2 linked regions of the Mus musculus genome follow. The protein of the gene in region 2 purifies or fractionates together with the protein of the main gene of each other region. This does not show direct contact. Links are inferred from orthologs where the notes say so. Each region holds a gene or a part of one and is shown on either strand. Other genes may lie near its edges.

Region 1 (5,213 bases), on a different chromosome or scaffold from region 2:
GGGCTTTTGTTTTTAATTTTTTTTATTTATGTGATTTATGGAAATGCTGTGTGTAAGAGTGCAGCTCTTGGCATGGGTGCTAGGACCCAAATTCAGGTGGTAAGGATTAAGAGTTTGATATCTGAAGCTGGGTAGGTGGGTCTCTGTGAATTCAAGGACAATCTGGTCTACAATGATGAGTTTTAGTCTAGACAAGACTAGACAGTGAGAACCTGACTCCAAATAGAAACATGAAAGTTTAGGATCGGGCTAGAGACAAGGCTCAGTGATTGAGAGCAGTTCTATGGGATCCCATGTCCTCTTGTAACCACCCCAGACACCAGACACACAATTGATGCACCTATATACAGTCAGGCAAAACATTTATATGCAAAAATTAAACCTTTTTTAAAAGGAAAATAACTATTATACCCATACACTTTCAATACTTTCTGCTTGTATCAGGACTTGAGGGGGAAGCAAGTCAGAGCTTACATGTATCAAGTGGAGAAGAACTGACTAGGGTAGGGAATGTCTACAGAAAGTGGGGGTGGAGGGTGGGGTGGGAAATCCCAGGGTTGGGAGTCCATCCGGGGATAGGATAGTTTAAAAGGACTGGGGCCATCACCCAGTCTGTAGTATGCTGGCTGAGCATGCTCACAAAAGTCCAAGTTTGATCCCTGCACTAAATAAAGGAGGCACAGTAGCCCGCACAAGTCCTAAAAGAGGTAGAGGAAAGATTAGGAACTCAAGACCAAGTGAAACCTGAGGCAAAAGGTGGCTCTAAGAAGCCAGTGTTCATTCTCTCCTGGTCTGAAGACTGGGAAGGGTTTGAGGAAAGAGCATCTGAAATGGTCTTCCAAGCCCTGGCAACCCCTGCAGAACCTCAGTGTCTCAGCACAGTTCCTGCTGTCTGTAACTACCCATCCATCCCGGAGTGCTTTAATGCCAACTTCTTCTTGTTCTGTAAAGATCCAAAGTGCCACCTCACTCAGTGCACATCACACTGCAATAAAAAAAGTTTGCTGAATGAACAGAAAGAGGCAGGCTGTTTATTATTAGGAGGAAAGTAAGGAACCATGTGTGGAATTGACAGAAACACCAAGAGCACAAGGCCAGACTGAGGCTTCATCCACACGGTGGGACTCTCTTAATGTCAATGAGGTCTTTAACCTGGAGACTGACTAGATGTATGGACTGTTGACATAACTGTCCAGGCAACCATTTGCCTAATTAGAATGGTGGATAGGCATGAGCCTGGGGTCACTCTATTAAATCCTGAACACCCACAGTATACTAGGCCTTCTGCCATCTCTCAGCTTGGTGGGAGATAATTTCAGTGTGTTTATAGAGACACAAAGTATCAGGGAAGACCTGGTGGCATTGAAGCTGGGTTTTTTGCTTGTTTTCTTTCTCTTTTAAAAAGATTTATTTATTTATATGAGTACATTGTAGCTGTCTTCAGACACACCAGAAGAGGGCATCAGATTCTATTATAGATGGTTGTGAGCCACCATGCGGTTGCTGGGAATTGAACTCAGGACCTTTGGAAGAGCAGTCAGTGCTTTTAACCACTGAGCCATGTCTCCTGCCCATTTCTCTTGTTTTTTTTTTTTTTTTTTTTTTTTTTTTTTTTTTTTTTTTTCCTGAGACAGGGTTTTCCCTGTAAAATAGCTCTGGCTGTCCTAGAACTCAGAGGACTCCACACACCTCTGCTTTCCAAGTGAGGGATTAAAGGCATGTGCCACCACGCCCGGCTTTGGGCTGGTTCTTAAAGGATAAGTTAGCAATTCAGAGAGCTGGAGGAAGAAAGCACCTGACAAAGGGCACAGCCAGAAGAGCTGAGGAGCAGGAGGAAGAACATGAGACTGGAAGAATAACACCGCATGGTCTCCTAAGTCCTTACATACTATTTTTTGGTTTGTTTTTGGACAGGATCTCACTATGTAGCTCTGGCAGGCCTGGAACATGCAATTTATTTTACACTGGCCTTGAACTCACAGAGACTGTAGGTAGCGGCATGTGTTTTTAATTCCAGAATTTGGGACGAAGAGAAGAATTTGAGTTAGGGGCACATACTGAGACTGTCTCAAAAACGGAGAACCACTAAACACATACACACACACCTTTTGAACCAGGAAGAAGACGGGCTCTATGTTGCATTAGCAGCTGATGGACCCATCCTCCTTCCTGAAAAACCCGAGGTCTGTAAATCCATCAAGAGGGGTAGAAATGTTTATCTGCATAGCCTCCTTAACTCAAAGACTCGTCATCAACCTACCAACTAGGTTGGAGGAAACAAAAGTCATCCTAGGAATCCGCCTAACAGTGCTGGGTCAAGGACTTTCGTATGCGGAACACCAAGTGCTAACCAACAGAAACAGTCCTCGGGAGAGGCACCAATGATGATGCTGGGAAGGAGGGGGTTCTACAGCGGACTGGGGCCTTCTAACTGGATGTATGGCCTTGGGTGGATCACTTCCTCCTTTGTACCTCATGTTCTCTAGACTTAAGAGTAAAGGAGCTGAGAATTCTGGGTGAACCAAGTCTCTCTGTAGCTTTGTATTCTCAAGAGCCCTCCAACTCTTTCCTGCCTTGGGCACGTGCTTCGTGAATACCAGAGTAAATGACGCCTGATCTCTCAATTTACAGGAGTGGAAACTAGGGCCTGGCGGGTTTGGCAGCTCAGACATAAGAAGCCAGTCAGTGCTGGGAGACCTTAGAGCAACAGATTGGTCTGGATTCTTCTGGGTTGCTGCTTACAGGTAACAACAGGTAGTGAGTGGTCCTCAACGTGGCTAGAAATGACGGAAGAAAGGAAGCTCTTTCATAGCGGGTCCCGGTTTCGTGACCTGATGTGGGTTCCTGGATCGAGTAACCTGTCTTAATTTTCCGTTTGATAAGACGTGGACAGTAAGGGAACCCGACATATAAAAATGGCTACGTTAAGTTTAAAAGCGTGCCTAGTACACAGAAGGCGCTCACTAAATGCTCCTGCCAGATGCACTTCAGCACGCCCACTCTAGCCCAAGCGGTAATTTTTCGGGATAGCTAAAAAGCCTGGGCGGGATAGAACCACGTGGGGAGTGCTAGGAGCGACGGTGTCTAATTCCTAACAGTCCCCGATTCCCAGCCAGAGACAACGTGCTCCACACTGGCCAGGCCCACGTGAGGCCCTCCGAGGCCCGGGTTCGGGCTTCACCTTGACCTTGGACCGGCCTCGTTCCTCACGGAGCCTCTGCCTCTCTCGTCTGGAAACCGCCGCGTGAGGCCCACTAAAGGGCCCACAGCCGCTCGGTGGAGACCACTTGATCGCGTGTCTCTCGCAGGCCCGTCCCGGCCGGTCTCCATGGCAGCGCCCGACTCACCTTCCTGCCGGCAGTAGGACATGGTTGTTCCCGACAGTCCTCTGCAGCTCGCAGAGGCAGCGGGCGCGGCTGGAGCGGATACACCTTCTCGCCGTGACCTCCCTCGCCGCTTCTCAGGCCTGGCGGGTGGCACTGAGGCCCGCACAGACCCGCCCCCTCCAGGCCTGCCCGCCGCGCGCCTGCCTCCGCGCGTCCTAAGCACCAGAACCGCTTCTCAGTCGAAAACTACACTGACCAGCAGCCCTTGCGCCTCTCCAACTAGACCGATACTACATTTCCCAGAAATCTTGCAGCGCGCACGCGCACCAGTGAAATACAGTGGTTTGTAATTTTGTGGCGAACGTGTCAGACGTCGGACTACATTTCCCAGCAGCCCTTAAGATGCGCACGCGCAGACAACTTGAGGCTTAGGCAGGGCGGTAACTTTTGTCCTGCGTCCCGCCAGGTCCTGGATTCCACGAGAAGTCTTGCAGCTCTGTGGCAGACAGGAGGTCACCGTATTCTGCGTTCCGGTCGTCAGCCCAATTCCTAGCGGAATAGAGCAAGACGGCGGCAGCGAACCAAGCCCACCATGGCAGCGAACGTAAGTGCTTCCTGATGCCCGGGTGACACCATCATCCGGGCCGCTTTTTCCCTGGATCCGCGCTGGGTCTTACAGGGGTGCTACCCCAGTGGGTGCAGCTGCCCTCAGCTCTCTGAGCTTCTCCATCTCGGGCTGCGCGTTTGTGGGCCTCAGCAATTAGTCGAGTCCGCTCGTGCACGGCTGCTTCTTCCACTCCTAGTTTCTCTCTGGGCCCCTGGGGATACGAAACTTGGGGAACTTGGGGAACTGAAGGACCACGGGGAAAGTGTCTATTGGTGAGCAGACTGATGAGGTGATCCTGCCCAGGTGGAACTGTCCAGCAAATGCTTCTTTGGTCTTCGCTCCCTAGGGGGTGTGTACTCAAAGGCTGTGTGATGCTACTGTAGCTGGACTAGCCTGGCTGGATGACGTGGAGAGGGAGACTTTTCTCTGCTGCCGGGTTCCTGGTGCACTGATTTGGTTAGAGCCCCTAGCTGAGGATAGTTCACCCAGACCTCTGGCCTCTTCCTACTGCAACTAGTCCTTAAGAATTTTCCTAGTGAATCTTAACATTCATTCAACAAACGGAGCAACACCACCTACTAGGGGACTGGGTGTGGGAGAAGCCGGTGAGTCACCAGTGCCTCTGGTGAAAGCGCCTCTGAAGCCATCTCAGGAGCACTGCCAGCCCCAGGCACACCCTTACTCCCTCCTTGGTAGAGTGTCACTACAGCCCTCCTTGGGCCTGTTACACCCTCTTCCCAGGCCCCTCCTCAGTCCGGCAGACTTCACCTCCTGGGAGGCCGGAGTTTGTTTCACCCACTGTGCAAGCAATATCTGTTTGGCATATTGTCTGGCCCTGGCAGGGGAAGAGAACCAAAGGTTAGGAATGCTGCACTGGAGCCAGAGGAGAAGGCAACCAGCAGGCCAGCCTGGCAAGAGCAGGCAGACCCCTTCTGATCCATCTCATCAGCGTCATATCTCACCGTTCCCCAGAAGAAGACACCTGCTTGGGGGCTCGTAGCCAGCTTGGCATGCTACATCCCCAGCCTGGGAAGGTGCTGATGAGGGCAGACTTTGGAGACAAGCCCGGAGGCAAATCCAGATTCTTCTACTCTAACTCCTTTGGGTTTACTCTCTCATGGGATCAGTTACTTTGAAATTTGAGGAAGGTTGCTGGGCACAGAGCCTGGTACATGGGAGGTACTTAATCCTTGAAAAAGTTACTCTTAGAGGCTAGCCCACACAGTCTTGGTAGGCAGAGACCATCTTGGATTCTCACACTAACAAACATAGACACAATG
Region 2 (5,206 bases):
TTTGGGGGCCTTTTTTCCCCCTCGGCGTTTTGAGACAGGGTTTCTCTGTATAGCACAGGCTGTCCTGGAACTAGCTCTGTAGACCAGGTTGGCCCCAAACTCAGAGAGATCTGCCTGCATCTGCCTCCCAAGAGTGCTGAGAATTAAAGCCGTGGGCCACTACTGCCCAGCCCAAGCCTGTGTTTCTTCAGTGCATGGGCAAGGAGGGTGGTCCTGGGCTAAGGGCCCTCACTGAGCAGGGATCAGTGACATTCCATGGCTGGTCCTCGCTTGACCCTTGGAGGTGAACTCTCACTAGCCATACTCGTCTCTGCTACCTCCCTACCTGACCACCCAAGGGTCCCGTCGGGAGGCACATACCCATGACACGGGACAGAGGGACTTGTACACACGCCGGTACCACTCACACACGGAGACATCACCCCCCTTGGCCGTCATTGCCTTCTCACAGCGGTGGAAGTCTGTGAAGAAAAGAGGTTCCAAATCAACCCCGACTAAGCACATTTCAGAGGAAAATCCACAAATGCTTTTTGCTTTAAGATTGCTTATACATACAGAGGGAATGCAAACTTACAAGTACACCATAAAGAGCTATATACGCCTGACCTGGGCAGTTATATAGAACATTCTGGAGCTAGGAATGACAGCAAAGTATGAGGGGCATATATCAGAATTATGGAAGTCCAGACAGGGCTAGGGAAGGGGAAGGTAGTGTTGATCATATCTGAGGAAGACAGGACAGGTACCAGCGGGGTTTTTAATTCTTGTTAATGGTTAGTTTTTTGTTTTTTGTTTTTCTTTGTTGAGGGAAGGTCTCATGGGCTCAAGTAAGGCAGGGGCCCCAAATGTCTCTAGCAAAGAGAGAGGAAAGGGACAGTGTTTAAGACCGGGCCCAAAGCAAGCTGAGAGCAGAGTACTGGCAATATTCATTTTTATCCATGGATTGTGACTATGTCTGAATCAACTTTTTTTTTAAAGATTTATTTATTAATATATCAAGTACACTGTAGCTGTCCTCAGATGCACCAGAAGAGGGCGTCAGATATCATTACGGGTGGCTGTTAAGCCACCATGTGGTTGCTGGGATTTGAACTCAGGACCTTCGGAAGAGCAGTCAGTGCTCTTACCTGCTGAGCCATCTCACCAGCCCCTGAATCAACTGTTTACATACTGTATTTACTTGTATGTTGTGTGTGTATGTGGCACACACATAAGATGTATATGTAATTCATATATACATGTATAATTATATTCTTCAAAAAATTTATTGTTGAGACCAAAGTTTATGACCTGGAGAGCTAGTTTGAGGGGTCGGGCCCTCCAGAGGGTACGTCCAGAGTGAAGGAAACCAGGCTGGAACGCACATGTCCCTGCTCCCCAACTTCCTTTCTGAGGTTGGAGGTACATGGGAGACCCAGGCAGGCCCACTATGGTACTCTGCTTACCCAGGTAGTTCTGCCAACAGTTCTTAGTCTGGTTCTGGTTGGGGAAGCGGCTGTCAAAGGGGGCAGTTTTGTAGTTCTTGATTTTAGTCTTGATGTCTTCAGCCATCCTGACTCCTGGATGCAAACAGAGTGGGAATGTTGGCAACCATTCTGGAGGTGCTGGGTGTGGGGATGTCAGGCCAGAGCAGAATAACAGGCTGAATGTGAATAAACCATTATCTCCCCCTTCTTCACAAACACAGAAAGATGAAGGGCAGGGAAAACCCATATATCTGAGTACAGAAGCCACAGTAGGGTTGGACAGAGGTCTCCTTGGCAAAACCAATCTTCATCCTTAAATTCCAGTTAACGCTCACTGTGTGCACAGCACATACTATGTGTACTCTATACATACCTACCCCATGGCCACTCTAAAAGATATTGCTACCTCTGTTGTCTACACAAGGGACAGGGTGTCTAAATGACTTTCCAAGGTCACACAGCACCCAGTGATAATGCTTCATCCATCACCAGCAAAAACACTGCAAGGATTTTCTGGTGTCACCGGCTAGTTTTCTGGCGTCACACACTCATCTGAGGTCCAATGAACTCAAACTTTGCTCAGAATATGCCTAAATGCATTGTGGGATTGCCTAAGATGTGTCCCCCCCCACCCCGCTCCAAAAAAAAAAAAAAAAAAAAGCTCAAAGGACTTAACAAGTAAAGTACAACTGGAGGTAACCATGACTGAAGATTTGTGACTCTTGTAACTGGCATGTGTCAGGTATCTGTGATTTTGCCTGCTGACAATGGCCCAGGCTACCAAATCTATTGACGTTGCTGCCTCCATTCCTAATGGAAGTAAATACTGGAATTCGATTAGAACCCCACGCAAACCGCCCCCCCCCCAATCATTCAAATACTTTAGCTCCTTGAGTTTTATCGACTTCTCTCAGCTTTGATATGTCTGAAGAGATGACATAGTCAATATCAACAGACCTGAGAGAAACTGTCTCTAGAGCATCTGGGGGACCTTGACACCACAGAGGTGCCAGTGTCAACTGAAGTAGTCCAAACAAGTGGGGTATTTGGGCAGGTTCATTGAAGGAGGCAAGGTGGGCACGGGGGATTTAAAAGACTCAGTGTCGGAAGTAATTTTGGACAATATCTCGAGTTTTGAGAGTTGATCAAAGATGACGCTGAGGGGAAAGACACGAGTCAAGGCGACAGGCTTCGGCCTTGGAACGCGGGTGGCCACGCCTGTGAACTCGCAACTAAAAGCTCCACAGTCCAATTTACTGGGTCTAAATCCGAATTGCCTTATAGCCACGGGTAAGGCGCTTCACACTCCAGCCCCAACGCTATCAAAGGGGACTTGTAGGGCTGAAGGATGGAGTAATAGGGACTGCTTAGAAAGCGACCTAGCCATCATGAAGAAAGGCGGCTATAATGGTTAGCTCCAGGACACCGGACCCGTGGCCGCCGGAAGTTTCTGCTTGGCGTCAGGGAAGCCCCGGGGCGCTTCTCTGCAACGGACAAGGTTCCCCCAGGATCCCGACCCTTCACACTCACCTAAAGATTGTCCCGGAGTAGCGTTACTTCAATGTGACCCTTAGCAAAGACGCCAATGTCAGACGGGAAGCGGAATTCCGACTGGCCGGAAGCTGCGAGAGGAGGAGCCGAGCTGAGTCCTCCGGGCTGCTAGATTGGCCTCGGGAGGCGTGCCCAGAAACCGCTTTGGCCACGCCCACTTCCGAAGAAGCCCGACCTCCTATTGAGCTAAATTTCTGCTTATTATTGTTGCTGGGCCAATCGAGATTTTACTTTGCTCTTAAAAGGCACCTGACGTTCAATTATGGGTTATTATCACCTGCCTGTCCTTCCCAGAGGGAAAAGCATAAGACTGTCTTCAGAGTGGGAATGGAAAAGTGTCACAGATAATCTGTGTTTTGAAATAGGACTTCGCTGTATATCTCAGACTGGCCTCGAAATTTTGATCACAGATTACTAGGTGTTAGGATAACAAGCGTTTACCCCTGTGCCTTGATTCGAAAGTTATTTATATTTATTTATTTGGGTTTTCGGGATAGACAATCTTAGTTTGTGTTTTATTGCAGTGAAGAGACATCATGTCTACGGCAACTCTTTGTTTGTTTGTTTGTTTGTTTGTTTGTTTGTTTTTCGAGACAGGGTTTCTCTGTATAGCCCTGGCTGTCCTGGAACTCACTTTGTAGACCAGGCTGTCCTGGAACTCACTTTGTAGACTCAGAAATCCGCCTGCCTCTGCCTAACTAGTGCTGGAATTAAAGGCATGGGCCACCACGCCCGGTTTATGGCAACTCTTATAAAGGAAAACAATTAAGGGCTGGCTTACAGTTTCAAGTTTCGTCCATTATCATCATAATTGGAAGCAATGTGGTGAATTGCTCTGATCCTTGAGGGTTGCTGTTTCTGCTGCTTTTCTGCATAAACTGGAATCCAGAAGAAGTAGGCTCCAAAGGAAGTACTGGCAAAGCAAGTACCTGTCCCTTCTTCCATTGTCCTTATATAGGCCTCCAGCAGAAGATATGGCCCAGAATAAAAGTGTGCTTCAAGACCTGTAGGAGTCATTCCTCCTAGAGGTCTGGATCAAAAGCCTGTGTCTTCCAGCCTTAAGGTCCAGATTACAGGCATGTTGTCTTCCTGCCTCAAGTCCGGATTACAGGTGTTCCCTATGTTTCTGGATTATAGTTCATTCTATATATAGTCAAGTTGATAATTGAGAGTAGCCATCCACATAGGGGTTCTCTGTGTAGCCCTGGAAACTCATCTATCTATCTATGGGTGTCCTAGAACTCACTCTGTAGGCCAGGCTGGCCTCGAATTTTTATCTGCCTGCCTCTGCCTCCCCGAGTGCTGGGATTAAAGTGCTGACATGGGTTTAAGTTAATAGAAAGTTTTTATTAGGTCTCCAGTGATTACACTAGGTGTTTGGGATCTTGGTGTAGCACCAAGCCCTTTTTAGAGTGAATTTTTACACACAAAACCTGTATTCTGGATTGACATAATTCAGTTCATAAGATAGCTAGCTGGACAGTGGTGGTGCACGCCTTTAATGCCAGCATTTGGGAAGTAGAGGCAGGAGAATCTCTGAGTTTGAGGGCAGCCTGGTTTACAGAATGAGTTCCAGGACAGCTAGGGCTACACAGAGAAACCCTGTTTTAAAAAAGGGGTGGGGGGCTGGCGAGATAGCTCAGTGGGTAAGAGCACTGACTGCTCTTCCTAAGGTCCTGAGTTCAAATCCCAACAACCACATGGTGGCTCACAACCACCCTTAATGAGATCTGACGCCCTCTTCTGGTATATCTGAAGTCAGCTACAGTGTACTTATGTATAATAATAAATAAATCTTTGGGCCGGAGCAAGCAGGGACTGAGTGAGCAGAATTGACAGAGTGAGCAAAAAAAAAAAAAAAAAAAATTCAGTTTCCAGCAACCACATGAAGGCTCATAACCATCTGAACAGATACAGTGTATTCATATACATAAAATAAATAAATAAATCTTTTTTTTTTAAGGCACTGCTGAAAAAAACACAAAGACCTTGCCTTCTTAGGTCCTAAGAGCGTTGTTAGAAGGTGAAAAATGAAGTGGTCTCTCCTACAGTCTCATCCATCACTGTAGCAGACACCACTGCCTGCTCGTTACTATTCTCAATCCCCAGAGATCACTGTTCACACATCCAGGCAGCCGAGAGACCTGTACTGATTGGAGGAAACTTTAGGAATTCAACCTTGGGTCTGA

The links. The genes of interacting proteins can lie anywhere in the genome.
Region 1: the proteins of Cox6b1 (region 2) and Chchd4 purify together in Homo sapiens (co-immunoprecipitation; 3 studies listed by BioGRID and IntAct, with this or other methods). This does not show direct contact. The link is inferred for Mus musculus from reciprocal best matches to the Homo sapiens genes COX6B1 and CHCHD4.

The regions. Positions count from the first base shown.
Region 1 is NC_000072.6:91,469,969-91,475,181, forward strand, and holds the start of Chchd4 (mitochondrial intermembrane space import and assembly protein 40), read right to left. Parts: upstream 3,456-5,213; 5' UTR 3,370-3,455; coding exon 3,348-3,369; intron 1-3,347. Other genes in the region: Tmem43 (transmembrane protein 43), read left to right, coding at 3,919-3,930.
Region 2 is NC_000073.6:30,623,055-30,628,260, forward strand, and holds the start of Cox6b1 (cytochrome c oxidase subunit 6B1), read right to left. Parts: upstream 3,061-5,206; 5' UTR 2,997-3,060; intron 1,560-2,996; 5' UTR 1,552-1,559; coding exon 1,446-1,551; intron 462-1,445; coding exon 361-461; intron 1-360. UniProt on the Homo sapiens protein: Component of the cytochrome c oxidase, the last enzyme in the mitochondrial electron transport chain which drives oxidative phosphorylation.